Linked DNA regions of Caenorhabditis elegans. The protein of the gene in region 1 interacts with the protein of each later gene in a pairwise test. Each region holds a gene or a part of one and is shown in the gene's direction. Other genes may lie near its edges. The genes, in order: sel-10, nhr-22, lin-12 and cpb-3.

Region 1 (8,661 bases):
CATTATATTGATTAAAAGTTGGGACATCGATTTTCGAATTCCACATGATAAAATCTTATATTTAGGAGCAATCTGAAACAAGACTGATCTTCTAGGACAGCACTTTCTAAAACGTACAAATAGATCCGATCTAATATTTACATATGGTTGGATGAAGTCAAGGTGATTATCTGACATTAGAAGAAGTATGCTTCTAGTGCAAGTTTCAACAGTTACCTCTAAGTTGGCGAATTTCAGATGCCATTCCGTAATAGTATAAGATAACTATGAAGTTGATGGCAAATGCTTGAAATATGATTCTGTTTTTTGAACTGAAACAGTTTAAGCATTAAAGGAAGCATTGAAATCAATACAAAATTAAAATTGAAAAACAAAAAACTAAACCATTGAGGTCTGAAACATTCTTAGTTTAAAAAGTGAGTATTTTGCAATAAAACACATGCTTTGGCTTCTAAATTCACAGATTTGAAACGTTACAGAACTTATTTCAGCAATCGAATTAAAAGAAAATTTCCCATAAAATGCTGTAATCATTTTTTCCCTGAAACCTACAGTAGTATCGAGTCCTAATCAACTTACCGATCCGCAGACTGTTTTCTAACAATTTTCAGATTTGTCAGTAGAAATAAATGCCCATTCTTGGTCATGATCATTTGGTAACCATAAAAGATCGTCGTTGTCTTTTGATTCTCGTTTGCCAAATAGAGCAAGACACGGTTGTTTGATGCCAAAACGGAGGGAGTAGACACAAAAATGGGACAGAATAGAGTGTGGAGTGATTTTTAAAATGTAAACATTTCCAGGATATGAGCCACAAAAAGGGATATAGACCGGCAGCAAACATTACTGTACATGATGTATGAAAAAAAGAATGCCGACCAATCAAAATCACATTGAACGATGGTTGTGTCTGGATCTCAATGATCTCGGATGAAAATGGGAGTAATTAAATTGTGCCTAAAAGTAGTTTCAAAGTTGCATCCATTTTTGATGCTTCCACTTCAACTTTTGAACACACGTAGATTACCAGAATTTCAAATCGGATCAGAAAGTAAATACCGTAGTTCTTTTGTTGTAGGGGTGGGCGGTAATCAAGGAATTTTCTAAAAAATGTTCAATTTCGGCAATTTCTGAACATGCCGTTTTTCGATAAACCAACAAACAGATCATCATATTGTAATCAAAAAGTTTGTAAGTTGGCCATTTATATTTGAAAATAAATAAAGCTCTACAAAAATAATACATTTGTTTTTCTGAAATACCCATTTTTAATAATTTGTGGGCAACATATAATAGTCTTAACAACAGACTGAACACTTTTTAATTTTAAATCAGGTATACCCACTATTTCATTTTCTAGACACCATACCGAAAACCCTAAATTTTGGCAACACGTATGATGTTGGTATTTGATTTTATCCTTAAATTTACAATTAGAGCTCATTTTTATTCTGTTTTTGTTTCTATAGTTTTGCAGTTCAAATTTTAATTATAATGTGAAAATCTTCCAAGAAAACATTTTTTCAGCTTTCCAAAATCGTTCTACAGAAATTTCCGAATTGGTCAGGTCTCTTTCAACTAATCGAATTTTTTGACATACTGGAGCTGGACTAGTATCAAAATTGCCAAATTATTTTAATTTAATTATTTTCATGTTTCGTCGTCCTTTTTTTATCGAAATGATATAGGTAGAAAGGCGTGAAAATAAAAATATATTTCACGAATTTATTGTCTGATACCAACGTCATTCTTGAATAGATTTGGATTTTATTTCAGTTTTTATTTCACTAAATAAACATATCAAAAGTGTTGGAAATTGTGGCTCCTCCTGAAGTCGAACAATCGGAATTTCCGTTTTCAGAGAATGTAGGCTATTTCAAATAATCGTATTTTTCGGTTTTGTGCAATTTCTAGCATATTGAATATATATCTTGCAAATGTGATGTGTTGCTGACAAATATGAATTTTAACTTTCGCTGATAAATATCAGTACAATTTATGAATTGAATCCTCTCAATCACATCTCAATTCTTTCATATTCGTCCCCCCGCAATACAAAGCCAATAAAGTGTGAAAAACAAAGAAATGGAGCAAATAGTGAGCTATGACTCAACTAACGTATTTCAGATGGGAATTGCAGTTTAGTCATGAATGTGTTATCATATCAGAAATAGTTCTTGACATTTGTGAAGAAATATTATACAGAAATTCCAAAGCGATTGTTTCCAATTGTGGCAGGTGTTCGTGTCTCTTTTTCTGTCAGTTTATGGTATTCATTTCCATAAAATTACCCCCTCGGTAGCCACAGATGGTCATAATTCTTTTGAATTCAGTTATGGAAATACCACATTACGTTCAGAATGTTACAGATTTTAAATCATTTTTCTTTTGTGGTTGTAAATTGAATCACTTGTTTTAAAAAACCATATTACCTATATGTATTATTTTATTCAAAAACTGAATTAATATACTCAGTTTAAAATTTCAAAACAAGAGTTTTCGTGGGATGCAGTTCGTTTTTTAAATTCCTTATTATCCTGAAATTTATAAGGATGGTTTACTTGTGCAATACGAAACAACCTTTCCGTAAAAATGATTTTGAAACAAGGTTGAACACATTTTTCTGCACCATCATGAAGGACGAGAACCCAGCTGTCATATGCAACAGCAGTGACCATCGAACACCTGCTTCTTCTGTGAAACTGATTATGTGACCGACAAGTCGGACATTTTATATTTTATTTTACACGAGAATATTTGTTGAAGTTATCTTATCAACTTTATACACTTTATATGCATAGAAAATGTTTCATCGTGTGAACATCAAGTGAACAAACGTGCGCGTCGGAAAATGCGTCAAGCGGTTATTGGCGCACTACTGGATGCCTTGACGCATATCGCGTGCAAAAAGCTTTCATCTTCTCTTCTCATTTTCTCACGAAAATCATAGTTTTATCGACTTTCCTTTTGTGTTCAAATTCTTCATTCCCAGTAGTTTTTGTCCTTTATTCATTTCCAATTCTTTTTCAGCCATATGTGGCCACGAAATGATGTACACATGGATGATGGATCGATGACACCGGAGGACCAGGAGCCTGTTACCGATAATGATATGGAATATAATGTATGTTAACATTTACAACCCTTTTCAGAATATAATTTAATTCTAATTGAAATGTTTGTCTTCAGGACAATGGAGAAGAAAGCTCGTACAGCAATGGCTCTTCTTCCAGCTACAATGCTGACAAATTATCGTCGTAAGCCTTTTTGTAGTGAATATTTATAGCAAAACGTACCAGTTCCAGACCTTTGCAACACAAACTTGATTTATCGGCTTCTCCCTCTCGAAACAACGACCTCAATCCGCGTGTCGAACATTTGATCGCATTATTCAAGGTAAACATATTGATTGATTGTCGCGATCAATCTTTCAGCGTTGCGGCTAATACACATGCAATAAATTAATATTTGAATGCGACAATAATTAGTAACATGACAAAACAATGCATTCAAGCTCCGGTGAGGGTGACCTGTGTATTATTGATTTTTCCAAACCTTGAAGAGAGCACCTCAGCCAGGCATATTCGCTCTATTTTTGCTGAAAAAAAGTGTAATTTGAATTCATTTTAGGATCTATCAAGCGCGGAACAAATGGATGCATTCACACGTCTGCTTCAGGAATCCAACATGACAAATATTCGACAGCTGCGTGCCATTATTGAACCCCATTTCCAGCGTGATTTCCTCTCCTGCCTCCCTGTCGAGGTATTTGTGTTGAAACGGAAAGAAAAATTATAAATATAACTTTTTCAGCTCGGAATGAAAATCCTTCACAATTTAACCGGATATGACCTGCTCAAAGTGGCACAGGTGTCGAAAAATTGGAAATTGATATCTGAAATTGACAAAATTTGGAAGAGTCTTGGTGTCGAAGAGTTTAAACATCATCCAGATCCCACGTAATACTTTTGAACGGGAATTATTTGAGATTAGTATTATCTTTTCAGAGACCGAGTTACTGGTGCGTGGCAAGGAACTGCAATTGCTGCTGGAGTCACTATTCCTGATCACATTCAGCCATGTGATCTTAATGTTCATCGATTTCTAAAGTTGCAGAAGTTTGGAGAGTACGTTTATTGGAAATATTATTTTTAAAGACGTTCCGATCACATTCGATTTATTTTCAGTATCTTCGAACGCGCTGCTGACAAGTCACGTTATCTTCGAGCCGATAAAATTGAAAAGAACTGGAATGCGAATCCAATTATGGGGTCAGCAGTGCTACGAGGACACGAAGATCATGTAATCACTTGTATGCAAATTCATGATGATGTCTTGGTGACTGGATCTGACGATAACACTCTTAAAGTATGGTGTATTGACAAAGGAGAGGTTATGTACACACTAGTCGGCCACACTGGAGGAGTTTGGACATCACAGATTTCTCAATGCGGAAGATATATTGTTAGCGGGTCCACTGATAGAACTGTAAAAGTTTGGAGTACTGTAGATGGTTCACTTCTTCATACACTTCAAGGACATACTTCCACTGTTCGATGCATGGCTATGGCTGGTTCCATGTAAGGCTATTCACTATGATAACTGCTTGGAAAAAGAAATTTAATACTGAAAATTTCGGGTTTCGTACAGTTGAATTCCCTAATTTGCGAGCTATATCAAATCTTGATGGAAAGTTTTTGATTTGTAGATCATTTATATCTTAAGAAAATTATTCTATCTAATTTCACAAAAAAAGTTTATGGTAATTTTTTTAAAACTTTTGTTTCAAAATAGAAAAACACGAACGTGTATTTGGTTGTTTAAGACTTTTTTAATACATTTTCTATCTTAAAAATGAGAAGAAAACGAAAAATCTCGCTGAATAACCACACTTTCAACCCATACATTTTAATTTTAATACTTTCAGACTTGTCACTGGATCACGAGATACCACTCTTCGTGTATGGGACGTAGAATCCGGACGTCACCTGGCAACTTTACATGGCCATCATGCAGCCGTTCGATGCGTTCAATTCGATGGAACAACTGTTGTTTCGGGAGGATATGATTTTACCGTTAAAATTTGGAATGCTCATACTGGGAGATGTATCCGTACTCTGACCGGTCATAACAATAGAGTTTATTCTCTTCTCGTACGTTTTTCTTATAACAAAATCCGAAAAATAATGTTTTTGTTTTCAGTTTGAAAGCGAGCGATCGATCGTGTGCTCTGGCTCTCTGGACACTTCAATTCGCGTGTGGGATTTTACACGACCGGAAGGCCAAGAATGTGTGGCTCTTTTGCAAGGACACACCTCACTTACATCCGGAATGCAACTTCGAGGCAATATTCTCGTGTCATGCAATGCAGATAGCCATGTTAGAGTAAGTATAGAGATGTAAGATTGAGAAACTTGTCATAGTTAAACATTTGTACGAGAGTCTGAATCGCTCTCCTGTTAAACAATTAGAGACCAATTCCAATTAATAAAATTGGTCCTGATGTTTCACTGCGTTTTCTGTCTCTCTGCGGCTGTTTCTACAAAAGCCAATATTCGATGGCAAACAAAGGTGTACGGATCTGAAATGATTTTCAAAAGTATGGAAAAGCACAAAAGCGTAGTAGATAAAGTAACCCTCACATTGTGAGAACATTGAAAAATTGTATTATTTTTTTAAATCATTTTTTCAGGTATGGGATATTCACGAGGGAACTTGTGTACACATGCTTTCTGGACATCGATCCGCTATCACTTCACTTCAATGGTTTGGACGAAATATGGTAGCAACGAGTAGTGACGATGGAACTGTCAAATTGTGGGATATTGAGAGAGGTTAGATCACATAAATTACAGATAGTTTTACCCATAAAAAAATTTTCCAGGTGCACTGATTCGAGATCTAGTAACTTTGGATTCTGGAGGCAATGGTGGCTGTATTTGGAGACTTTGTTCTACTTCTACGATGCTAGCGTGTGCAGTCGGATCTCGTAACAACACCGAGGAGACCAAAGTTATCCTTCTCGACTTTGATGCTGTATACCCTTAACGAATTCTCGAATCTCTGCCCCTGTACATAGAATGTTCTTGCTTAGGAACTAATATTGTACACGATGCCCTCATTTTTAAATCAACAATGCTATCATATCATGGAATATAGTCAAAAGCCAACAGTATTGAAACGTCAAATTTGAGGAAAAACGAATTTATGTGTCTATTCAACTCGTTATATCCCGGCCCGCCACTATAATTTTTCTTTTTTTTACTATTTTTTGTCAGATTCTGTCTCACACTCTTCTCTTTCTCTTTTCGATTGTTTCCCATTAAGTTATCGGGTTTGATTGATTTTATATTTTTATTCAAATGATGGGCTCACTACTCCCAGATTTTGATTTCCTTTATACAATAGTTCAGTCAGTATGTTAGTCCTTATGTGACTTCTTTTTGATCTAATGAGCTTTTTAGTCCCTGTCGGTTCCCTCTTTTTTCGCTTTCATTTTTCGTAAAAACTACTTGTCAAAATTCAAAGTTCTACCCTCGACATTGCCTTTTTTAAAATTTTTGTCTTCGTTTTATCGACTTATGCCAGACGTCATTCGATTAAGTAGGTTAATAACAATTATTTCATAATAATAAATATCGATTCGTGTCATCCGTCTATATGTGATTTTCTTTTAATATCTCTATTGGAGATTTCTCCAAATTATCCTGTAATTTTTCAGTGAGTGAATATCAGCTTTATGAAGTTTGTGTCTAAATTTTTGACCCCAACTACAATAATTAGTTTAACAACCAGAAGTCTATCAACAGCAAAAACTCCAACATACATCATGAATCAAATTGAGCCAACTACAATGAAAATTGATAATGAAGATTTTCGGCAAGTTCCGGATATTTGAAGAATCGTTTTAAGTTTAATTCTATATTTTTCAGAACTCTCTTCACACCTCAACTTTTGAAACTCCGTGATTTATTCGCCAAACGAAATTATGAGCTTCGAATTGCCGGTGGAGCTGTTCGAGATCTACTTATGAACATTCGACCGGCTGACGTTGACTTTGCCAGTACTGCAACACCGACTCAAATGAAGGTTTTAATTGTTTTCCAAATCTCAAAAAAAATATATTTTATTCAGGAAATGTTCGAAGAGGATAAAATTAGAATGCTTCATAAAAGAGGCGAAGAGCACGGAACAATCACGTGTCGCATTGACGATTGTGAAAACTTTGAGGTATTTAGTTTTTAGTTTAATAAATTTAATCTATATACATTTTCCCAGATCACAACGCTTCGTGTAGACATTGTGTGTGATGGAAGAAGGGCTCAAGTTGAATACACAACTGACTGGCAACTTGATGCAAATAGAAGAGATCTTACTATCAATTCACTGTTTTTGGGTTAGTATAGAAATTGGAAATTGAAAGCACTCCGCCCCCGAACCATGGGTCTCGTTAGGAATTGTCAGCAAAACCGTAAATTGAAACTTTCAATTAGTTTCGGCACTTCCGCCAAATTTCAAACATTTTCTGTTTTTTCCTGTTTTTAAAAATAATTTTTATACGGAATTGGATTTAAAATTTATAGTAATATGAAAACCCATTATTCACCTTTCAAATCCGCATAAATTTTTTCAAATCATCATTAGGAAATGAAAAATAATCAAAAACAACAGAAAATCGCCGAAATTAATTGAAAACGTGTGCATTCACGGGCTTTCCGCTAAATACCTAACGAGACCCATAGTTTGTGGGCGGAGTTTTTCAATTGGCAATGGAGCGCGTTCCCATAATATTATATTCTTTGCTCATGAAATATTGGAATTTCTTTTACAGATCTTCATGGAAACGTTGTCGACTATTTCGGTGGAATCAGAGACATTGAAACTCGGCGCATCGCTTTTGTTGGAGACGCTCGTCAGAGAATCCAGGAGGACTATTTACGAATTCTTAGGTTTTTACAATTATCATACATTTTCCTGTTATCAAAATCTCTATATTTCAGATATTTCCGTTTCTTTGGACGAATCAGTGACTGTACGGAACACGAGCACGACACAATTCAGGCGATTGTAGAGAACAAGGATGGTATGGCGGGAATAAGTGCCGAGAGAATTTGGACAGAACTCAAAAAGATTGTGGTTGGAAGAATGGCTGATGAGGTGTTAAAAGCGATGATTGAACAATGTGAATTACAAAAATATCTGGGACTTCCGAAGGAATGCAATCTAGAGAGATTTCATACAGTTTTTAATAGGTTTTCAAAAACTGTCGAGCCAATGACAATGATTGCATGCCTGTGTGAGGATGAACATCAAATCGCCGAATTTCATCGTATTACGAAGCTCTCGAACGATGAACGTCTCCTCGGTGAATTCATTCTTAGTGAACGACAATCTGCTGTTGAGAATTTAAAAAACGATGACTGGTGGATTGATAGAATTGTTGATTTGGAAGTACGTCCTGGTCACGAGAATCAACAGGATCGACTTCGTCAGCGACTTGTCCAACTTGCCAAAAGTGTGCTCGCTGATGAAGAAAGAATTCAAATGATTGAGAATTTTGAAGCTCCCAAGTTTCCAATAACTGGTTGGTTTTTTTTTGTAATATTGAATTAGAAATATTCAAAATTTTCCTATTCCAGGTCGTGATCTGATGGAAGCTGG
Region 2 (8,372 bases), on another chromosome or scaffold:
GGCGTGCGCCTTTAAAGAGTACTGCGGAATTTTAATTTCTAAATCTTTCGATAAAACTACACTTAAATAAAAACTTTGAAAAAATGTAAAAAAATATGGCAGCAACAAGCGTTTAAAGTTACAGTACTCTTAAAAGATGAATATGTATTTAATAAAAAATTATCGTTTCGAGATACCGTAATTTTGAATGAAAATCGAAAACTTGGGAAATTAAATCCGCTTCCAGAGTACAATGCCCCAATTCTGCTCTCAAAAATGTTTTTTTTTCAGTTCGGCTCAAATAATGTCTCTGGCATGGAATCCGTCAGGCCGAGGTCTTCTAGCTTGTGATCGTCAGAAGACTTGTACACTCTGGAGATGATCTTCAATGTATGAAATTGAATATAATTGTACAGAATCATCATCTGTGTTATAAATGTGCATATCCATTTTTAAAAAAATAGTTTTACCCGCGTTTTTCATGTTTTCTTTCAGATTTTTCATTATGAACATTCGTTTGAAATAGAAAAAAATTGTATGATATTTATACATTTTAATTTAAACCGGTAATCCTCAAAAAATGCCTGAATATTACAAATTCTGTGTTATCACCACCTATCCCTTGTATTCTATGAACATAAAATGCACATTTTCTTATCATTTCACCTGGTTGGCTGACTGACAGTCGTTTGGAAACATTCGAGTTTTCTTAAATTTTCTATAGTTTCTGATGCTAACCTATGAAAATCAGTTCAAAATGATGACAAGAATACAGGAAATTAATAATTTCTGTTCCCGCAGCATGATGATATTTTTTGCCGATGAATAGTCCTAATTCTTCGTCATTGAAAAAAATTTGCTCCTTTCGATCTGAATTTGAAAAAAGTTTATTAAAAAAAGTATATTTCAAATATTAATGATTTCTGATTATTCTGCATTGCCAGGAAAATATTTTCATATAAACTTGTGAAAAGATGTCAATTTCTGAAAACAATTCGGCCAGTTTTCTGAAGCAGTATTTTACATATCTTCCAGGGTTCAAAAGATTAGTACTCTCAATGAGTCGCAGACAGCTTAGTTGTTTTTTCTTTCGTATTAATATACTTACATTTTCTTTTATCTCTAATTCTCTTACATCCACCTTTTCCGCAATCTCTGCCACTGTCGGCGATCTCTTGTTCTCGCACGTTTCTCTCTAATTCTATAACGAACGTAAATCTTTATTCTCTCTATTATTTTTATATATATTTGTGTGAAATATTCAAAACTTGAGTATTTAAATTTTTTGAAAAACCATAAGTTCAATGTGATAATTTGAAATTTTCCCATCACGTTTTCGATTAGACAGAATGAAGTTTCCGTTCCAGTGACTATAAATAGGCGAAATTTAATTGAAAATAGTTTTGCATTATTTTCAAACCACAGACTTTTTATTCATACATATATTTGAAAATATTAATTCAGTGAATTGCAAATTTAAAACTCACATTTCTTTAAAATTAATGAATCAATTTTCTATCTCTTGCCGTAACAAATAAATAAATCCATATATTAATATCTTCTCCCCTTTGTCCAGCCAATTTCTCATCTCCTCCAATTAGCCTCTTCCCACCTTTCTCTCTTCTTCATTTTCCCCCAATTCTGTTCTTATCAGTACTAACCTTGTTCGGTCCTTTCTCTCTCTAACCTCTCTCTTCTCTTTTTCTTACTCTCTACCATTGCCGCACACCTCCATTCATTTTCACTTTAATCAAATATGTCTACGGACCTTCTCTATGAATATTTCTATCCACCTACCGATTTATTCAAAAATACTTTTGAAGACGTACCACCATCTCCTGAGTCTCTGGACGTTGGTGATTCGTTAGGATCATCTCCATCTTACGATCTTGGATTCCAACCATCATTCGATATTGACTTCTGCATTTGGAAAGAGGGATCTTCATCACCTCCACCGGAATCGAATCATCTCCCAGAGATTGTAAATAAAGCTTCAACATCTCCACGTGGAATGCCATCTCCATTAACTGACAGTCGAAGTTGTCATGTCTGTTCATCTCCCACTGCCAATACTCTACATTTTGGAGGTCGTTCTTGTAAGGTAAGCAATATGATCAAGAAAAAAATATTTCTCGTATCAATTATTAATTAGCACTACTCCGAAAAAATGAACATTTTTTGTTTTTACAAGTGTTGTACTTTCGTTGTTGTTGTACAATATACATTTTTTGTTTTCTGGATAACAATTGAATTTGCATCGGACATTATTACCCAGGCCCACGGTATCCTGCCTCAGCGCAACATATTTTTGTTAAATTCGAAACGTTGTGCGTCTTTGAAGAGTACTGTAATTTCAAACTTTTATCATATTTTTTATCATTCAAACTCGTAAAATCAACATTTCTAGACTTGAATTTTTGTTCTAAAAACACCGATAAACCGTTGGTTTCATTAGTGATAATTGTGAAAAAAGGTCCTAAAGTATTTTAAGGCGTAATAATATAACTATGCTTTGAAAATGTGCCAAAATTTGTAACATGCTCGCCACGTGTTTTTATTGTTATCCTGTGTTATCTAGAAGTGTATTGTAGTCAGGTATTTTCTTTTTCCGTCTGCGTATTTCGACGAAACATCACTTATTTTTGTGGCCATTTGTGGTATGTGTCTCACACTATTTGTTTTTGTAGTCTTAAGTGTAGCTAGAATGACAATAGAAGATCTTCATCTGATCGGATGTTTGAACACACCACAGTACAGTTCCTGTTTAGAAACTAGCTCCTTTTGACCAAGTTTTGTATGATAATCTTACTGAAAACCACGAACAAATAGAAAAAGTTGTTGATAACGTACATCACACTTTGCATGCTTTATGTTTAAATAAAGAGAAAATGAAAAGTACAATTTGCATCACTAATACCTCCGGAAACATGTTTCTCACAATTTAATTGGAATAAATTTAATAAATGAGCATATTTTCAGGCATGTGCAGCATTTTTCCGAAGAAGTGTTTCAATGTCAATGACTTACGAATGCATTGGCACTGGAGATGACACAAATCCGTGTAGAACCCATTACGAGCTCAGAATGATATGCCGTCACTGTCGGTTCATCAAATGTTTAGATGCCGGAATGCGCAGAGAACGTGAGTGATCATTGACAAGGTCATTTGTCACATGTTCAATTGGCCAAAAAGTCCGAGGTACAAAAAACAGTAATTTGTTGTTTTGCAGTGGTGCAAGCGAGAAAAGAAGAGACGAGAGTTGCAAAACGACGTTCCAAGGGATTGGTTGTATCGAAAAAGGAAGATGACGATGTTGAATCTTCGTATGATGAGTATGTAAATACATATACAAATGTTCAAGGTTAGTTTCTAATTTATTTCGAAAATATTTTTGAAGCCCTCGACTGGGAAATTTTTTAAACCCTCTCCTATGGTAATAAAATTCCTAAGTATAACAGTTTAACGTTTCAAAAAATTTTTTAAATTTTTTAGTTACCGTCAAAAGTGGGCAAAACTCAGTTTTCATCTATCACAGTTTTTGGAAGTTGACCAAAAAAAATATTTATCTACAAGTCCTTTTTTTTACAGCGTTTTAATTGTTTTAATTGGAAAAATTCCAGGGTTCCAACTTGTAACAATTTCTACAATTTTTTGAAAATTTGGCAATTCACCAAAACTGAGGTTTTTTAAACTCTTAATCTTTTTGGAAAGTTTTTATGAGATTCGGTTATGTTAGAGTATTATAAGTGTATCTATCCCGACTGACGATACTTTAATAATACCATTTGTTGTTTCAGATTCGAGCCCGAAAATGGAATCAGGGATTAATGAAATGACGATTCCTGAGTCATACCTTTCACCGGATCCTTCATCTTCTCAACCACTTGATATGACAGTAACACCTCCACCACTGCACCGTTCAACTCCATCCATACTTCTTACTCCAGCAACTGGTGACCGTATGCACTGTCAACGTGTGCTTTCCAATTCTCCTCCATTCGATATACACCAGGCAAGCACCAGCCATGCAGGATTTATTCAACATGTACAGTTCTACCCAGTCGTTGAAGTTGAAAATAAAATTTTCGAATTAGTTGATCATTATGTAAGAACAGAAGCTTCATTGAATGATCGAAGGAAAATAATGTACACGGATACTCAGATAAGAGATGTTTTCGATACAACTTGTGAATGTGTGAGTTTTCAATGCACCATATCCATTTCTCACAATATTCTCTTTCAGCCCTACGAAAATCATCAGCTGAAACCTTTCAACTATAAATCATTTTGCGGATTTGTAAAGCACGACTTTGTTATGATTCTTGATTACGTGAATCAATTTCCGGAGTTTCAAGCTTTACACAAAAATGACAAAAATGTGGTCTATCGAATGGCTTGCGCCGTAGATTCAATGCTTGCATCTGCCTATTATAGCTATAAGTGAGTATTTAATGTTCAAAAATTAGATTCAGTCAGTTTTTCTACAGAGTTGGAATAGAAAAAGAACGTCTAATACTTTTCAATGGTGACTATATCAATATGAATCCGATTCCAATAAGTGGAGATGAGCCAGGCGCGGGAACAGAGTTTCAAACCCCGCAAGAACATGAAAAGTACAAGTGAGTTTGCTAAACTTTTTTAAATCTCAGTAAATTGTTATCTTGCAGAACCCTAATGCCACTGAAGCTAAAACAATATTTCGATCTGGCAATTCCGTTCGCTCGACTAGAAGTCTCATTTGAAGAATACGTACTTCTGAAAGCTCTCATAATTTGGCAAATCAGTAAGTAAATAATATCTACAGTAAAGTTTTAAAATTCTCGTTTCAGGTAACTATCGGTTACTAGAGGAGGGACGAGCAATTTGTGCACGGCAACGAGACACAATAGTTCAAGCCTTGCATAAAGTAGTTGAAGAACGAGGTGATGAGGATCCAGCTATTCGAGTTGGTCAGCTTCTTCTGAGCATGAGCTATATAACGGTTGGTTCCATCATCAATTTGTTATGAAAAATTAAATGAGTTTCAGGAGCAAGTACAAGCAATGACAAACTCTTACCTTGTAATGACTTTCTTTGATGTTGTATCCTGTGATAGTATAATGTACGACTTACTATCTTTCAGGTAACAAAATTCTAATAATTTCAAAGTTTAAATGTTATCAAATTATTTCAGAGACGACTGAAACAACCATCGTGAAGGTTCTACTTCATTCATCTGACTTTTAACGACTATTAACTTACATAGCTTTATCGCGTAGCTTTTGTATTTAAAATTGTGACATTTTGTTTATATTCTGTGATTTTCTTTTTTTGCCATATTCGTTCAAACTCTCAATTCAGATCTTTCAAAACATGTGTAAAATTGAACTCATTTCAGTTGTATTGATATACATTTAATAATTAAAAAATTTATTCAACACTTGACACATGACTAGGGCTATAAGAAGTCACCGAATCATCCACATAAACCGGAAGAACGAAATATTGCCAATGCGATTGTGGAACCAAATATGGTTTGCTCCAAAGACGTTGCAAGTCACCCGTTGGTGGAGTCGAGTCAAGAGGAAACCTGAAATAGAATGGATTAGAGATTATTGAGAACTATGAATTCACCATTCAATAAGAATATTGTGATTCAACGTTGGAGATTCAGCTCTAGTACATTGCTCGACTTCTATCTGAAATTTCGACTGTTTTTGGTAGCTCTAGATGTAGTTTTCACCGAAATTTCTTTGCCGGGAGGAATCAAAAACTTCGATGGATACAACTTGTAGAAGCCAGTGGTTGACAACAGAGCTCTACAAAAAATGAACTGTATTTAAAATAACCAGAATAATTTTCGCTGCAGACCTCAACGCCAACCAATCATTGTTCCTATTGTTCTTCACATTCAATATAGACAATCCAAGCCGTGGGACATGGAATGGCTGAAAATAAAATAATGTTGCAATATATTTCACTTTAATCATTCTCACTCTCGGATGGATATATGTCATTTCATTAAACTCGCTCTCGATTCTCGTCTCACCAGATTGAGTACTCAGAATAGTTGGAGCCACCTGGCTTGGGGTCTCCTCGCTGATTCGTGGAATTGGATCAATATTAGGCTTCAATTTACTGAGCAGGTATGTTTGGATGACAAGCAACATATGATAAACCAAAATGAAGAAGTGTGACAGCTGAATCAGAAGTTTCGTTCAATGTTGGAATAAGGCTATCGGAATACCATAAACTGCCAAATTGCTCCATTTAGTCTACAATAGCCAGGTTCATGATCTTTGTGCCAGAGACAAACTGTAGAAAGAAAGCATTCATAAACAAATATTGGGACTGTAATCAGCTTGAAAATAGCAAGGAAGAGTGCACCAAACTTGTTGATATACTTTCGATCTTTCTGAAAATTAAAAGATATGGAATGGACTAGAATTAAAAAACTTACAACATAAATGAATAAAGAAAAATCGAAAATGAAGAATATCAAGGGAAATGAGAAATATAAAGATGGACCGATTCCAGCATCGAAAATCTAAATTAATTTGGTTGGCCTGTGATTACTGGCGTTTTACCTGATACAAGAAGTGCCGTGGTGTTGTGAAAACTCCTTTTGGATGTTTCATGCAAACTTTTCGAAATGGAAAGTATATGGTTACCAATGATAGAAGGAGGAATAGTGACTGAATAAATGTTTTCTGGAATAAACTATACATTAAATCCCAACCTTTGCCCATAAAATAGTCGTCATTCTACTCTCCTCTGGTATCACAATATTATATTTCGGTAAATATTTCACTGATTTCATATAGAATGTGACTAGCAGAAGAACCACACACGAGAGCCCAACATGACCAAAGACTAGCCACCAAACTTGGGACATTGTCCATAATTGTGTCAACTCGGCCATTTTTCGCTTCTCCGGAGCACATATTTTGGGTGAACTTGATGAAGTACAGCAACAATGGGTATCTCTTGCTGGAAATGGAATGTTGAAAATAATATAATTTATTTCAAATTTACCATCACCCAGGCAAACTGATGACTCGTCAGTTTTGTTAAGCAAAACAGCACAAGAAAGTGTTGAAAGTTTTGAAGGTTTTTGAGAACAATCAAATCTTTCAATATCTCCTTCTGATGTGGCATGGAAATGAGAAAAGCATATGTCAGACGTGCACTGGTTATTTCCATTTTGATTGTTAATGCACTGGTTCGAAGATCCCGAGGATAAGGATCTGAAATTTTTACTATTTCTGAGATATCCACGCAGGACGTGAAATGGTTGCATCTGACTTCCAGTCGGTCTACCCGCGTGCCTACTGCTAAAGTACATGTAAAAACAAACTTTCAGCAATAAAAACTTTAGTGAGACGTTTGTAAATCTACACCGCGCAAAATTCAAAATGACATCAGCCACGAGAGAGACAGAGGCAGGCAGGTATGAGATTTGCCTGTGCTCCTGGAAACAGATAAGAAATTTATAAACTCACAAACTACATAAAACAAAGACGATAACTTTTAGCATGCTGGGAAACTCAAAAATGATCTTTCTTTTTTGTTTTACGTGGTTTTTGTTTTATTTTTGAAATATGAACACGTAGAGCTTATATGAACTATCACGGTAAAATTACAAATAATAAGATTCTATTTATATATTAAAAAAAAACAATTCGACATTCATTTTTCAACTTTAAACGCTGAAATTGGCACGGAGATAACATATCATTCAGAAATCACAAATCAAAAACAAAAAGATGGAATAGTTGTTATAATTAATAGGAAAATTATTCGAAAACAACCCATTTTGGCAGGAAAATATGTAAGGCTGATGAAATGAGAACAGAATAAAGCATTTGAAGAAGGGATTTTGGGGAAACATTTACACGCAACGGAAAGGTCTTCTGAGGATTATGGAAATTGAAAGAAGTCTAGAAATGAAAGATCTTATAGAAAGTTATGGAAGAACTTGAAACCGTGGGTTCTTTTTTGCTGTATAGCAAAGTGCTCCAAATGTGATTGAGACTGCAAAGAGAATGACTCCGAGAAGAAGCCATAAAACTGCATATGGTAAGCAGACTGCTTTCATTGGGACTTCTTCTTGTGATGATGATTGTTGTTCTTGTGGTGATGGTAAATCAGCAGCTAAAAACTTTGATGTATCTTCATGTTTCTAATAAATTTCGAGTATGAAAACTGTTCTGGAAACTCTCTGTGGCTATAAGGAACGTGTTACCTATCTTGAAAGCGACCTACTCGTATTTCGATCAACAAATCACGATCCTTACATTACACTGGACGCAGGCTACCTTTCACAAAAGACGCAGCATGCCTTGTGGACATTTTTGAACTAACTAGATCATTCTAGCTATAACGCATAAAATATATACAAGTACCAAAGTCT
Region 3 (7,539 bases), on another chromosome or scaffold:
GTCTCGTCGACCACACCCGTTCCGAATACAATCAAAAAATCGATAAATGGTGCTGTGCTCTTGTTCTACTTGGTTTCTTATTCTTCTTGCTAATCAGTGGAATTGCTGATACTATTTTCAAATGGACAAAGAAGAAGTTAAATGGGAAGAAGATTGAGTCACAAGTCTATAAATCGTTGGAACTTGTGGATATGTCAAAGAAAAATGAAAATGCGCCTGGTGTCGGAGCATGAAAAAAAATCGATTTACTGTATATAATTTGATATCTGTCGCATTTCTTCTATTAGTCTCACTCCCGGCATTTCTTTTGAAAATTTTTCAATTTTTTATCAAACATTATTAAAATTAATAAATTTCGATATGAACTGTTCGAGTTGTAGGGAGCAGACGAATACTGGAAATATGATGTTTTATTTCTCACTTTTACAGAGTATGATCCCGGTTTTCTTTTTTGAATAATATTTTTGAATAAATATTTGTGGTATTAAAGAGGTCAAAATGTTTTTCTTCATAAATAACAAAGCGGTGATTCTTTGAAGCACTTTCTAAATAATGATGGCAAATCATAAAAAATGTCAAATACCCAAGTTTCCAACCCAAGTTTTATAGATTCATTCAAACAGTTACATAGATTGATTTATTGCCCTAAAAATTAACTCAGTCAGTTCACTATATGTTGAACAGAATCCGGAAGGATTAACATAACACGTATCTGTTGGATTACTGTAGATTAATGTATAAAGTCGAGAAAAGTTATGGTAACACTCTCTCGTGTTACATCATTGTGCACAAATAAACCGGAAGAAGAAATTGGGGTCTTAACCAACCTCATACATTTTCTGGAGTTCTAAACTTGCGAGTTTATGCATTGAAATTTCGAAGGAGCCGTACTTGAATCAAAGTATCAAATGATAGAAGTTATTATGCTCAACTTAATTTGGAGTAACACCAGTGGGAAATGAGAAAATATCATTTTCTAGTGCTAAAGCTGTTGAACATTATAATTCAAGTAAATTTCGAAATCTTAACAAATCTTAAATCTTAAGATATTCATTTCCAGTCGAAAAGTGTAGATGACTCTGTTTTTCCATATCATGATTTCGGAAGTTGGCCAGAAGAATGAAAAATGGATTTTCCATCATTTTTTAAAATTTTAATTATATTTCAAAGGCTTATATTCAAGCATTGTAAGGGTTTCTGCGACATGGCTCAAAATGTCTCAGAAAGTCATTTTGAAAAATTTGTTCAATTACCAAAACTGACTGAAAATTTAGAAAAATCTAAAAATGTTCAAAGTTAGCATGCTTGAAATCGGATTGAATTTTCAGAAAAGAGAAAAAAAACTTTTAATAAAAATTATGAAATGATCAATAAACATCTGCAACCTCTACTTTCCTAACAATGACTCAAAATTGTAATCGAATTAGCAATAAACCATCGACAAAGGTCTTCGTGTATATAAATATTGCCAGATTGTCCAATATGACGATTCCACCTGTGCAACTGGAGATTGTATAAGTGTACCTGAATCAATCAATATTCAATATCTGCCATCTTGTGCCGAAATGTTGATTCTTTTCTATTTGTTTCATATTTTCGATTTCTTTTTCTTTTTCGTTTTGTTCCATTTGGCTTCTTTTCTACTACTACGTACGTTGATAACAACATTTTTTGGGGAGGCATGCGCCCACGCTAATAATCTCACAATTTCCCACTAAAAGGTTAGTTTTGAAAACATTTTCCCATTATTTTTAGATGCATGATCAATCAGTAAAAAATCAACTAAAACACAAAATAATCATGAATGGTTGAGATAGAAGGACACAGATGATGATGCACTTGTGCAAATAAAAGTAGGAGAACAAGGTAGCCCCATTCACAATATAACGGAAATTTGAATTTTCTTCAGCAACATTTTTTTCATTTTCATAAGATTTCCTATTATCTTTTTTGTGGTAATTTTAAGATTTGACTATTTTAAAACAAAATACCACCAAAGCTGATAATTAATAACGGCCTTCTAAAAAACCAGGTTTTTATAGAGCTATTGTTAATGCCATTTTTAAATGTTTTCTTAAATGTTACACTCATTTATTAACAATATTGTTATTTTTGAAACCTTTCCTTGGCGGGTTCCCATGCCAATAAATCAAGTCAAGAGGTCTTGAGACTAATCCGTCGACGACAGTTCAAAGTTGCCGGTTGATTGTCACGTCACATGTATATGACACCACAGTAACAGACACCTGTGCTCCTGTTGGCTCATCCATCATTTCCGTGTTTTGGGAAAATAGTAGTTAATTGGTAGCAACAACTATGCGTGAATTTTTGCAACAAATTTGGTTCAGATAGCAATTAATTGTCGAGAATAAGGTTATATTTAATTGTGTGAAACAGTTAAAAAAATAATCAAAAAATGATCAAATCTGTTTGAATTCCCGCCAAAAACAAACGCCCACTTTTGAACCAATTAGCGACTTCGGAATTTCCATACTTAATCTGATTGGTTGAAGAATGGGCAGAGCGAATTGCTGATTGGCCATGCAGTTCTCGTTTTGGAGGTAATTCAAATAGAGAGATTAGAAAACACCTTGGAAAAAGCGTGTTCAATATTTTGATTTGTTTTTTTTTCTAATTCTTACTCGATGTGTTTAGTATTTTCAAGCTCTTTCAGCTTTTGAACAGGAAAAGCTATGAAAAATCTCTTCCGCCTATAAAATGGCTAAAAATCATTTATACAATCTTACAGTTGTTCCTAAATGGATAAAACCAAGATATTACTTTTTGAACAAAGCTTAGAAATTTTTTGCAAGTATTGATGTATAAAACTAAAAACTATAAAGTATCCGAATAAACAGAAATAAACAGAAATAAACAGAAATAAAACTCTAAAACTGACACACAAAGACCCAAAAGCCGCAAATCACCATACGTTCCCAGCAGTTCGTTTTCCTCATCTTGATCATTCTTCCTTCCGTTCCCACTCTCTTCTCTTCCACCTCCTCCTACTTCTACTTCATCCAACCATCTGACATCGTCGTTTCATTTTAAAATCATCTTCTCCTCCTTTTCTTTCTCGATGAAAAAAAAGTCTACTTGGTGGCCGCACCGCGACCGCAACAAGTTGGGCGGAGCCATCTGTCTCTCTCTCTTTTGTGTTCATCCTACCCCCACCCCTTCGCCCTCTCTCGTCCTTTTTACTGGGTGAAGACATAACAATAGCCACCCATTTTTTGATTGGCATTTATTTATCCTTAATTAATGATAATGCAAAAGCTACCAGGTTTGGGTTTTATTAGGTTTCGTTTATTGGTAATAATATATTCCTACAGCTCTCACGAAATATTTAAAATGTTTCGAGCCAAGTATTATAGTTTTAAGAATTGATCCTGTTTCCTTCTATTTTGCCCTTGTTTGTTAGTTGACGATGACTGTATTCCTCTTTTAGTATTGCAACTCACTACTTTACTTTGAAAGGTAATATCTCCGCTCATTTTGATGATATCAAAAACTGATTTTCTGCACAATGGAAAAAATATTTTGTCAGCTGACAATTATTATTTAGAACAAATGACAACTGAGATATAAGCTGTCAACACTAAATAACAGGGGTGCAATATTAGTACGGTCCGATCCTTTGCATTTCTATACCGTTTTACTGTCGTCAACTTTCAAACAACGAATTCACTAAATTAAATAATTCAAAACCATTTTCAGAACCTACATGATCCATATCTAAAAGCTAATTTCCTGTCTCTGTCCGCCCTATTGCTCAACAGACTTTGCTCAATTTCAAAAAATGCGGATCCCTACGATTTGTTTTTTATTTCTTCTTATCTCGTTATCAAAATCGCTTCATATTGGCTCATGTCTTGGCTTAATATGTGGAAGAAATGGTCACTGCCATGCTGGACCTGTCAATGGAACTCAAACTTCTTATTGGTGCAGGTATGTGAAGATTTTGCTTAACAATACTTAAACATTTTTTCAAATTTTAATTCAACGTAAAATAAATAATACAAATCTACACATTTTGAAAACTAATCTTAAAAATACGCAATAAATTGGGGGTAAGGAATATTCCTAGGAATTATGGGATTTCCTTTACAAAATTGTCAACTGACCAAATTTTTGTTATTTCTCTTGCTACCGTTTTGTAGTTACCGTATTTCCTCTATTATTCTTTTATTCAAGACTATTAGAGGAAATACGGCAATTCTTTTTATATCTTTGAAATTAACCGAGTTATAACTTTACAAAGTTAAGTAGCTAGGTGCAATACTAGTAAAAGAAGTACTGTAAATTATAACAAAACATTGTTTGTACCAGTAGACTATTCTTCCATAATCCATGCCCTTTTCAAACAATAATTACGTAATCCGTCTTGATTTATAGCGGCATGTGCTCTCCGTTGAGCAGCTAGCTCCTGATAAGATAGGTGATATGGTTCAAGTAGAGACACGTGTCACTTGAACAACACACCATTAATTTATAGTTGATGTTAATTAATAGGAGGACATTGTTCGCACGGGTTCCCACCATTTACGAAACTTGCGCAACAAGAGAAATGAGCGAGTAATGAGAGAAAAAACCCCACAGAGGAGACACCTGCGTCGTCCCTCGCTGTAGAAAAAACTTTCAATTTTTTTGGGAAAAAGTGAGGGAAAATATTGTAAAAACAATACTTTCAGGGTGTTATGGGAAAGTTGGAAAAAGTCGGGTTTTGGATAAATCAACTTCAGAAAAGCAATTCTCAGCCATTTTTTTCCTGCCAATTCTCGTCTCAAAGTCGAAGAAAAACCAGGCAATTAACCCGCTGAGATTCTCATTAAAATGCGAAAGAGAAGCAGCTTTTCCCCCTCCTGGTCTCGCACCGCCGCCAAAAAATCACCCAAATCGGTAGTTTATTGCCATGGGAAAACCGAAAAATACGGGAAATTGAGGGGAGAATTCTTCTTAATGACAAAAAAATACTGGTCTTCCACATTTTTCTTATCAAACAAAAAAGAATGGGGTAGGATTTATGACCAAGTTCCCAAAAGAAATGACCAATGGGGGGTTACTGTAAGATTACTGTAGCTGGTTTTGAACTCCCTATCAGATGTATTATCTGTCAAAGTTTTTCCCGAAAATTTAAATAGAAGTATAGAAAAATGTTTGCACTTTCTGAAAATTGCTTTACTTTCAATTGGCAACTTCGGAAAACTGCAACGAATGCCACTTTTACTCGGCATTTTGAGACTTTGAATGAGAAAAAGAATAGTCTTCAAAATTGCTTATCTTATCACAAATGAGGACTCAGTTGCCACCTCACAATTTTACAGCCGTGTTCCCAGTTTTGTCGGCAAAACATACTGTCGAGTGAGCCTACCATCAGTTGTCATAAAACCATAAAACAATAGGATTACGGTGCCTTTCGGCTGCACGACGTCTTTAATCTTTAACCCTAACCCTTCCCAATGTTTCAGATGCGATGAAGGATTTGGTGGTGAATATTGTGAACAACAGTGTGATGTTTCAAAATGTGGAGCCGATGAGAAATGTGTTTTTGACAAAGATTATCGGATGGAGACCTGTGTCTGTAAAGGTAAGATAATGTAATTTCGAGCTGAATAACTTATACACAACACTTCCCATTGCATCTCATTTTCCTGCAAAACCAATGAGCCAGTAGTGGTCACTTTTTTGCCCAATTCCCATAGGGACCTAAACACCCATCACTCATTTTTTTTAGCCCTCCATGGTGGCGGTGTTGCGAATGAAATGTTTTTTTGGCCCAAAATTCCAAAACTAGGGTCAGCTGCGCGCGCCCTTTTGTCGGTCATCTTTTTGACCACACCATCCATCATAAGCACATGCCTGGTGGAATTGTGGCAAACAACTGACAAAGTTGGGGGTGAATAATAATTTGAAAGTGAATAGGTGGATTTGAAAATTCAATGGAAGTTAAGAAACTAGGAATTGTATCATTTTTAAGACTAAACGAAATATTCGAAGATTAAAAAATAAGAATTTACTTACTCATTGTTAAAGCTATCACAGGTATAATAGCAATAGGCCTATAGGCAACGCGTATACAGGTCTAAATGTCTGCTTCACGCTGACTTGCCGGCCTACCGTCTAATTTTTTAAATGTTAGCTTGAACTCTGTAGTTTGCTGTAGATTGATGTTGAAAATTCAACAAAAATTGAAGACATTAGAAGATTGGAAGTTTGTGGCTACATGTGTAATTTATGCGAAACAGACGTAGGCTGCCTTGTAGGTAGCCAGGCAGGCATTTCCTCATATTTCGAAAGCTTACGAAAACTATGCTTTAAACTTTATGCGCTTACCATTCCCAACTTTCAAAAATTTTACTAATCGTTTTCCGTTAAACCATTTATGAGTATTGCTCCAAACTTCATCAATCTGTAGTTAGTAGATATTTAACAAAGTTACGGCAACCAAACACCTCAATATTTCATCATGACTCGTTTGTATCGAGGACAAATTGAAGCGCGGCCAATCTTTTTCCATTTCTCTTCAGCTCATTTGTCTTGTTGGCGGCGTTAAAAGTGACCGCGTAAGGTGCCTGATAGATAGCTCCTAGGTCATCTGCCCCTCCTAGCCTCTCTGTTTCATGCGCGCTTCTCTATTGTCGATGCGCTTCTTTTTGGCGCGATTTATGTCTGATGTTCGGTATGTGTGAAGAGGGCGGTGAATTGGGCGACGACCCGATGGCGCCTCGTGTGTGTTGCCAATTCTTGGGAAAAAGTGGGATAAATGACCTAGAAATGATGAGCAGATGATGATAGTATATAGGATTTGATGTAGCAGAAGTCTGTCGGAGAAGAAGTGGCAGACGTGGGAAAGTATACATTTGGTTATTGTACGACTAGGCTAATAAGCAAATATACAAGTGGAATGGTTACAGGGATAGATCAATTTATATATTAAAAATAACTGTCTGCTTTTGAGTTCATATGGGTAATGTAGGAGTACTGTAGTTTCTGAAAAAGTGTTTTTGTTTTTTGAAAGGATATTGGAATGAGGTTAGTGGATACATGTTGTATGTGTACTGTAGTGGTAATGCAGGATACTGTAGGGAACTGTGATTATTGTAGTACAATTATTCATTCAGATAATTATTCCAGTTCAACACAAAAATATCCTAGACTTAACTTTTTCTAATATACAGAATAATTATGATAGTAAATTTCAGATTGCGACATTAACGGAAACAGTCTACTAAAACCAAGCTGTCCATCCGGTTACGGAGGTAAGTACTTCCATATTCTAATGCAACAATAACCCGAACAAACAAGTGTAACAAACCACTAATAGCGCCCTGTAATTATCGGTTCCGATTACGTCACAGTACACTTGAGCAAACTTAACGGATTATTGATGGGCATAGTTAGTTTAACAGAGACAGGATTACTGTAGCCGTATGACTTTCCCGTCAACACCGATCATCTTCGAAATGACTCTATAATTACTGGGGGTCGTCTTCTTGACGTCTTGATAATAGAAGGTCGTGGGAAACGAATTCTGAAATG
Region 4 (8,074 bases), on another chromosome or scaffold:
ACCGAATACAGATAATAGACAATTTCTCAAACTTTTTTCAGGGAGCATCCACCGTTCTGATGATCAAGTATCAACTGAAAACTGTTCGGCAAAAGATGAGGAACGTGACAGAGATTCCGGTGGTGTTTCAAGCTATGGAAACAAAAGAAGCGATGAATTCTGCGGTACCTCTCCAATCCTTGAAGCAAAAGGTTTTGGAATCAGCAATACATGTTTCAATTGCAAGAAGTATGGACATCGTGCAACAGAATGCTCCGCCCCACAACGTGAATGTGCTAATTGTGGTGATCCGAATCATCGTGCAAATGAGTGCGCAAGCTGGTCGAAAAACGGAGTTCAAGAGCCGACAAAGGTCACCTATGTGCCAGTCGTGGACAAGATGGAGGAGGTATTTAGCATGTTGAAGATTAACGCTGGAGATTTCTTTGACAAGTTCTTTGACGCTAGCGTTCAACTTGTGTCACGTGGACAGCCGGTCACCATTCAACCATGTAAAAGTTTTTCCGATTCCGATATTCCTCAAAGTATGAGAAGAAACGTGGAGAGAGCAGGTTATACCCGAACAACTCCGATTCAACAATATACACTTCCACTTGTTGCTGATGGCAAAGATATCCTTGCTTGTGCTCAGACTGGATCGGGCAAAACTGCAGCATTTCTTTTGCCGATTATGTCTCGTCTAATTTTGGAAAAGGATTTGAATTATGGAGCAGAAGGAGGTTGCTATCCACGATGCATTATTCTTACACCAACTCGAGAGCTTGCTGATCAAATTTACAACGAGGGCAGAAAGTTTTCCTATCAATCTGTTATGGAAATCAAACCAGTCTATGGCGGAATAAATGTAGGATACAATAAGAGCCAGATTATGAAAGGATGTACTATCATTGTTGGAACAATTGGACGTGTTAAACATTTTTGTGAAGATGGCGCTATAAAACTCGATAAGTGTCGATACCTGGTCCTAGATGAAGCAGATCGAATGATTGATTCAATGGGATTCGGACCAGAAATTGAGCAAATTATCAACTATAAGAATATGCCCAAAAATGATAAACGACAAACAATGATGTTCAGTGCCACATTTCCCAGCAGCGTCCAAGAAGCTGCTCGTAAATTGTTGCGTGAAGACTACACAATGATTACAATCGATAAAATTGGAGCCGCCAACAAATGTGTCATTCAAGAGTTCGAGTTGTGCGATAGAACATCAAAAGTGGATAAGCTTTTGAAGCTTCTCGGTATCGATATTGACACCTACACCACCGAGAAAAGTTTGTTTTACTTTCACTTTTCAATATCGTCATATATGTTTTTAGATTCTGATGTCTTTGTGAAGAAAACGATTGTATTCGTTGCTCAACAAAAAATGGCAGACACTCTGGCCAGTATCATGTCGGCAGCCCAAGTTCCAGCGATTACAGTTCGTTTGTATATTAGTAGTGTATTTCCATTCTTCTTTTTTATAGATTCACGGTGCTCGCGAGCAAAAAGAACGGTCGGCTGCTTTGAAATTGTTCCGAAGTGGAGCTAAGCCAGTGCTCATCGCCACGGCTGTTGTTGAGCGTGGTCTTGACATTAAAGGTGTAGATCATGTTATTAACTACGACATGCCAAATAACATTGATGATTATATCCATCGAATTGGCCGGTTGGTTATTTCCTGAAATGTTTTATTTTTTGTAATTACCGTTTTTCAGAACTGGACGAGTCGGAAACTCGGGAAGAGCAACTAGCTTCATATCATTGGCAGACGATGTTCAAATTCTGCCGCAGTTGGTGCGAACTCTAGCTGACGCCGAACAAGTTGTGCCAAGCTGGATGAAGGAAGCTGCAGGAGGGACCTCCAATCCTAATAAATTCGAAAAATCTATTGATACCGAGGAACCGGAGGAAGCTTGGTGAAGCAATGTATTCTAAATTTAATTTCTGCAAAATATCAATCTTGACGTATTATTTTTCTGATAATGTTCAGCCCCCTTTTATTCCCCAAAATATCTGATCGTCTTGGCATTTCAACTTTAAATTTCCCGAATTTTTAAAATATATTTTTTGTTGTTAGGTTTATATGTTCATTTTTGTTTTCAATAGTTGGAATGTTTATAAATTCAGATCAGTATTCAATCAATGTCTCGTAAATCTGATAAATTTTTGTTTTAATTAAAGCTTTCAAAATCTTTTCAGATGGACTCACTATCAGTTTTTTTTAACTTCTCAGTTGTCTTGGCACGATGCCCACTCGATAATAACTGGTCATCTGTTTATTCGTGACTCATAAATTTGATAATAGTGAACGCTGAGAACGTGTTTTTTAATGAATTTTAATATTTAAATTCAATCAATTCAAATAATTAAATCTCATTCATCTTATAATATTAAAATCTTATGTATATAAAAATTAAATTAAGTCAATTTGAATTTTACGAAAGAATTACTGTAGCACATGTTCTGTGTAACATCGCGTCGTTCATCATGTTTTGTGTGCATACACTAAGCAAATTCAAATTTCAAAATGCTTTAATTTCGAAAATCCCAAAATTTTAAAATCAGTTTTTAGAAATGTTTTGTCAGTTTTTTATTCTGTCCGTGTTGTTTTAGGGAAAATTCTTTCTTCCAATTTGAGTTTGAAAATGTTTTCGTTAAAAACAAGTTTGAAGAACCTGTAGTTAATAACTTTCGCCTGAGCATAATTACTTTCGCTCTTGAACTCAAGGGAACATTTCTAATTTTCAGACTTGCTGCCGTTGATAAAAGCATTCACCATGAACCTGAATGACCGAGTGGAAGGCATCGGTAATGAAAGATCTATCGTTGCGAAATCAACCGAGAGAAAGAACAAAATTCCGCCCTCGTTAAAGCTCAGTCCTGTTGAGTCAGTTGGCGAGGTTTGTAAATTTGTTTTTCGAAATAGTTTAAAAGTTTTCATTTTTAGAAATCTCCAACTCCTGCAACAGTTTATGATTTGTTCAAGAAGTACCACAAATCGGACAGTGTAAAGCCGACCGAAGAAGACAACATGAATGTAGGATTTGACAAGCTTTCTACAGACGAGAAGAATGGATTTCTTCGAAAGCTTCAAATGCTCACTGTTGGAAGCAAAAAATCATCGAAAGTAGATGAATCCACTCCGTCGCCTGCTAATCGCCTACTCAAAAAGATTGTACCATCTCGCCGGACATCAACAGAGCATCCGAATTCGTCGAATCGAATGCATATTTTTGGATCTTCAAGAACTACAAAGAAGTCTATCGACTCGGAAAGAAATTCACAGCGTAAGAAATCTGCTCGGCGACTAAATTTCGAGAGAGACGCAGAGCAAAAGAAGGATTCAACAAAAACAAATAATAGTTCATTCGTTGCTGAAATGACTAGAGAATATGAGAAGATAGTTATCTCGAAGGGTGCTCCCGTTCCAATCAATAAGGCAAATCGGAATCTCTACCGTAATCCTCGTGGTTCCCTTGAGACTCCTACAGATTCTCCGCAAAAAGGCTTCAGCAGTTCAACCGAATCGTCTCCTTCTGACAGTATGAATCAGTTTCCATCTCGAGAGCACTTCACATCTGCAAATGAGGAATCTCCGATGAAAAGAAAAAACTTCCAACAAGAACATGGAAATAAAAACCGTGATAGCGACGCAACTTGGTTTGGAGAGCTTCCGCCCAGAGATTATACAAGTCCAACATTCTCACGGAAGATATTTGTTGGAGGAGTTCCATGGGATATCACTGAGGCAGCTTTAAAAGATTCATTTGGAGAATTTGGTTCGTGTGCAGTTGAATGGCCTGGACAAGAAGCACGTTATCGCAGTGGACAATCAAATTTGGCTCCGTCAAATGGGAGTTTGAGAGCTCAAACGAAGGTACGAACTTTTTGAACGGTTAAAAATAACACTGAAATTTTCAGTATACTGGACAAGCTGCTACTGGGTACGTCTACATGATATTTGAAGATGAACGCGCTGTTGCTTCTCTACTTCACGAATGTTCTCAAGAGATTGGAGGAGCCGGAGAATGGTACTTTAAGATTCGAGCTCAAAGATCGAAATCGACCGAGATACGGCAGGTAGGTCAACCACAATATGTGATGTTTCTTTTTTGCGTATATTCTACTATGATTTCAATTTTCAATCATTTCAGGTACAAATCATTCCATGGGTTACCTCGGACTCTATGTTTTGTGAGGATGATACACTTCTCGAAACAGGAATAGAGCCAAAACGAACTGTCTTTGTTGGAGCTTTACATGGGATGATGACAGCTCAAGTACTTCATTCAATAATGGAGGACTGTTTTGGAGCCGTTGAATGTGTGCAACTTGATACGGATAAGTTCAAATATCCGATTGGAAGTGGACGTGTCACATTTCGTGAACATGGCGCGTATTTCAAAGCCATCGAGATGGGATATCTGCACGTCTATACCAGCAAATTCCGTAAACGTGTCCAGATAGATCCATTCCTCGAAAGTACATGCTGTATGGTATGTAATTCGCAGTCAGCACACTGTTTCTGTCGGAATAAGAATTGCTTCAAGTACTACTGTCACAACTGTTGGGCATTGGATCACGGAAAAGATGATGATCAAGAAGTCCATATTCCAGTGATTGTACCATCGTCGGCTTCGAAAGCGTTTCCAGGAGCAACTACTCGTCGTTCGCAAGTTTCAAGCAGCTTGTCGTTGAAAAATGGATCTAACAATTCTCAAGTCAATAATTCGATTCCTCATTTTCCTTCGGCAGGTACAGATAACTAATTTTTATTTTTCGAAAATTTGGAAAATATCTATTTCTTAAACTCAGTTTTTATAATTTTCAGGTTTCCCTATCATCGTCGGCGCACCTGCACAAACATTGTCAGCTCTCTATGGATATATTCAAAATGGTCAACAACTGTTGAAACCAGCCGTTTTTGAGCCACCAATGACACCATCACCAAGTGAGATCAACAAGAATAGAAGAAGCTTCACAGAGTTTTCGACTCCGCCAACAGTCTTCTTCAATTCAACTCCTGTCATATCTCCACAAAAGAGTGAGTGGAATATTTCAATACTTTATAAGCGGAGCATATTATTTTACTCAATTGTTACATTTTCTCAAATTTCAGGTGTGTCCGACGGTTCTCCATTGCCAGCATACTACAACTCGGCTGCATTCCTAACTCCACCACCAACATACTACGGTTCTCCAAACCACCCGACATCTAGCAACATTTCGCAACCTCAGCAACCATACTATGGCGCTAACCTTTATTATGGCTTTATTCCCCCTCAGCAACATCCTTCTGCAATGATGCGCTCTCCCAATTACGGCCAGTAAGCGCTTGCCTGTTTCCATCAAAAATTGCCATGTTCTCATTACTATTCGAATATTTTATATAAGTTCCGTCGCTCGTAGTTCTGTAGAAATAATCAACGTAGTTTATGTTTGCTGAAAACTATGAATGAGAAAACTCCCTGTGAATCATATTGCATCTGTAACATCTTTTTTTGTTTTCCCCTGTAGCGTTTAGTTTGGGCCTTCTTAATTGTTTGTTTTTTTAATCAATTTTGTTATTTTGTTGTGTTTCTAATCATCCATCTCCCAACTCTTATCCGAATCTGATGCCATTTTTCCTTGTCATTCGCAATCAATTCGTATGCCATTTTCTTGGTCCCATCTGTAGATTTAAACTCTCCGCATTGCGTTTTACCTCCCTCTCGTTTAATGTATACAAGAAGAATCGAAGGTAACGTTTTATCTTTTTTATCACTTATAAAATTATTCATCTTAAGTACTCTTTCACATCCTCCCCAATTGCATATTTTCTCGCAGATTGCGCATTAATTTTTTTTTCGAATAAAATTTTTTCGATAGTACGACTTGTTGTCTAGTTGAATTCAAACCTGAAACTTTATTAGATATGATGATAATCTATTCCGATTTAGATCAAAACTTGTATTATTATACAAAAAAGGTTGAAAACCGTTAAATGAACCCGTTGAACGTGTTTTAAAACGAGAATATTGAGAAAAGTGACTGAAGAGGTAGGAAACAATTGAGATTTGGAAATTGAGAGAAATTTGGTGTGTTGTGGTAAAATAATGAATATTTTTAAGATTAAAAAGGCCTCCAAATAGTCGGAGAAGAACTATTCGATGAAGTTATTGATACATTTCTTCGTCTTTTTGATTCTACAGATTCCGGAGTTTCTTGAATTAAATTAATTGAAGTTTCTGATGATTTTGTGATTGAACGAGGAGAAGATGGTCGTTTTAACTTCCGATCATCAGAAGTTGGAGTTATAAAAATTGATGGAGATGATAGGCATGTAGACGTATTAAGGGATACTGCAATTAATAAATTATATATATATATTTATTTCCGAAAAAATAATCTAACCATTTTCCTGTTCAACTTTTTGTTTAATCGGAGTTTTCATCGATTCGCTGTGAATTTTCCAAAGTGCAGCTGAGATAGAAGGATGTGGTCCTGGAGAGATAAGCGGAAAAAATGATGGGCTGAAAAATATAAAAATTATTTTATGAATAATGTGAAATTCGAAAAACTTACGGGAAAGTTTGAGTCATTGGTAAAGGAAACCATGGTGGTGGAATCATTGTCATTGGCATCTGAAAATTAAATTTTTAAAAATTGTTTGCAATTTTTTCATGAATGTTCTTCTACAGTTTTTTGCAGAATTTTTCAAATTAAAAACATTTCAAAAATGAATGAATTTTTTATATTGGGGACGCAGAAAAATGTGAATTTTGAAATTGGGGGTGTGAGCGCGCTCCAACGCCAAAAGTCTCCGCCCCCAAACGCTGGGTCTCGTTAGGTATTATCGGATGAATTTTATATCGAAACTGATGCCATAAAATTCATAATCAAATAAAAACCCTTATTCACTTTTCTGTACTTTTCAAAACATTATTTCACAGTAAAAATCATTAGAGTCAATTGAGAGTAGAAACAATTTAATTCTCGAAATCAGGTGAAATCAGCAAAAGTTATTGAAAACGTTTGAATTTCTGATATTCCCGCCAATACCTAACGAGACCCAACATGAGGGGGCGGAGCGTTTTCATTTGCCTCGATTTCAGAAAAAGGAGACTACTGTACTTCTTAAAGTCACATCCTTTTTTTCTCAGGCTTTATTCAACAAATTCTGGTAATTTCGAGACCCTATACTTAAGTAATTAATACAAAATTTTGTTTGTACAAAAATCAAAAAATCGTACCGGTGGTCCAGGCGTTCGGATAATATCATTTGGGAATATTGTCTGCTGTTCTGCCTGCCGTTTCAAAGATCCTTGTGGTTTTGGTATTCTCGCATCCCTTGGTCCATCAACCGTAACCTATAATTAAATTAATAAGTTTTATCGTATTAAACTGACATCATTTCTTCCCATTCCAACATATTTGGCTTCCTTTTTTAAAAAATAAATTTGAATAAATAAACCAAAACTCAATGCAACATAAGAAGTTGCAATTGATAAGAATATTTACCGATTACTAGGCTTTCTGAAAACTAGTTTTTATTTGTAAAGAGGTGTACCAGGTGACGCATCGTGGTTAATAATCAGATAAGAGAGTACGGTAGTTGATGTGCGGTAAATCTATACATTGTTTTAGAAAACTTAAAGATGGAGTAGTTAAAGAGGGAATTTTGTATAAATTTGTACTCATAAAATAACTGATATCATAAAAACGCTTAAAATTTTTTTTGATTTCCTAACATTTTTGGGAGATTCTGAGCAATTTCTCATGTTTGCCCCAACAAAAAATTTAAAAGAATAAAGCTTTTTTTGGTCGACTTCCAAAATTTTGAGTGGCAATTACAGGGTCTCGACACGACGGAAATGTTTTAAAATGTTAGCTATAGAATGGAATACGCTCATTAAAAAGTATGTAGTTCTCACGTCACAACTTTTTTCGATTTTTCGTTGTTTTTTGTAAAATCAGATGCTCGAAGAGAAATAAGAATTAGAGTGGATGTAAAACTACAGTACCCTTGAGAGGTGCATGCTCCTTTTTATTCCAAAAAAATCAGTCGTTTCGAGACCCTTAATTTGTATTATTCATTTGCGAGTTGTAG

What was found.
Region 2: the proteins of sel-10 (region 1) and nhr-22 interact in a two-hybrid assay, tested with the Caenorhabditis elegans proteins (3 studies listed by BioGRID).
Region 3: the proteins of sel-10 (region 1) and lin-12 interact in binary tests that used the Caenorhabditis elegans proteins (3 or more experiments, as listed by UniProt).
Region 4: the proteins of sel-10 (region 1) and cpb-3 interact in a two-hybrid assay, tested with the Caenorhabditis elegans proteins (one study listed by BioGRID).

The regions. Positions count from the first base shown.
Region 1 is NC_003283.11:13,816,331-13,824,991, forward strand, and holds sel-10 (F-box/WD repeat-containing protein sel-10), read left to right. Parts: upstream 1-3,030; 5' UTR 3,031-3,034; coding exon 3,035-3,124; intron 3,125-3,189; coding exon 3,190-3,257; intron 3,258-3,299; coding exon 3,300-3,396; exon of another isoform or gene 3,397-3,519; intron 3,520-3,630; coding exon 3,631-3,765; intron 3,766-3,813; coding exon 3,814-3,959; intron 3,960-4,007; coding exon 4,008-4,127; intron 4,128-4,187; coding exon 4,188-4,580; intron 4,581-4,927; coding exon 4,928-5,153; intron 5,154-5,202; coding exon 5,203-5,385; intron 5,386-5,692; coding exon 5,693-5,834; intron 5,835-5,884; coding exon 5,885-6,048; 3' UTR 6,049-6,650; downstream 6,651-8,661. Other genes in the region: F55B12.2 (Carbohydrate sulfotransferase), read right to left, coding at 1-72, 118-170, 217-311, 580-647; hpo-31 (CCA tRNA nucleotidyltransferase 1, mitochondrial), read left to right, coding at 6,830-6,879, 6,933-7,089, 7,135-7,230, 7,279-7,396, 7,832-7,949, 8,001-8,584, 8,640-8,661. UniProt on the Caenorhabditis elegans protein: Probable substrate recognition component of SCF (SKP1-CUL-F-box protein) E3 ubiquitin-protein ligase complex, which mediates the ubiquitination and subsequent proteasomal degradation of target proteins.
Region 2 is NC_003280.10:6,443,152-6,451,523, reverse strand, and holds nhr-22 (Nuclear hormone receptor family member nhr-22), read left to right. Parts: upstream 1-1,731; 5' UTR 1,732-1,735; coding exon 1,736-2,080; intron 2,081-2,958; coding exon 2,959-3,121; intron 3,122-3,209; coding exon 3,210-3,341; intron 3,342-3,777; coding exon 3,778-4,175; intron 4,176-4,223; coding exon 4,224-4,420; intron 4,421-4,467; coding exon 4,468-4,599; intron 4,600-4,647; coding exon 4,648-4,763; intron 4,764-4,809; coding exon 4,810-4,961; intron 4,962-5,007; coding exon 5,008-5,102; intron 5,103-5,153; coding exon 5,154-5,163; 3' UTR 5,164-5,329; downstream 5,330-8,372. Other genes in the region: atg-16.2 (Autophagic-related protein 16.2), read left to right, coding at 271-361; K06A1.2 (uncharacterized protein), read right to left, coding at 5,390-5,549, 5,594-5,658, 5,703-5,778, 5,831-5,907, 5,956-6,159, 6,207-6,374, 6,420-6,506, 6,547-6,654 and 3 more; cutl-16 (ZP domain-containing protein), read right to left, coding at 7,926-8,113. UniProt on the Caenorhabditis elegans protein: Orphan nuclear receptor.
Region 3 is NC_003281.10:9,067,649-9,075,187, reverse strand, and holds the start of lin-12 (lin-12/Notch intracellular domain), read left to right. Parts: upstream 1-3,715; 5' UTR 3,716-3,799; coding exon 3,800-3,948; intron 3,949-5,468; coding exon 5,469-5,587; intron 5,588-7,202; coding exon 7,203-7,259; intron 7,260-7,539. Other genes in the region: F02A9.7 (CX domain-containing protein), read left to right, coding at 1-233. UniProt on the Caenorhabditis elegans protein: Essential signaling protein which has a major role in many developmental processes; involved in cell fate decisions that require cell-cell interactions. Probable membrane-bound receptor for putative ligands lag-2, apx-1, dsl-1 and osm-11.
Region 4 is NC_003279.8:5,786,412-5,794,485, reverse strand, and holds cpb-3 (Cytoplasmic polyadenylation element-binding protein 3), read left to right. Parts: upstream 1-2,733; 5' UTR 2,734-2,762; coding exon 2,763-2,885; intron 2,886-2,932; coding exon 2,933-3,862; intron 3,863-3,906; coding exon 3,907-4,065; intron 4,066-4,139; coding exon 4,140-4,740; intron 4,741-4,816; coding exon 4,817-5,029; intron 5,030-5,104; coding exon 5,105-5,316; 3' UTR 5,317-5,852; downstream 5,853-8,074. Other genes in the region: ATP-dependent RNA helicase glh-3, read left to right, coding at 42-1,274, 1,320-1,423, 1,470-1,651, 1,701-1,905; Runt-related transcription factor rnt-1, read right to left, coding at 6,097-6,326, 6,379-6,497, 6,550-6,608, 7,218-7,334. UniProt on the Caenorhabditis elegans protein: Cytoplasmic polyadenylation element binding protein that binds to and regulates the translation of specific mRNAs. May not be required for oogenesis.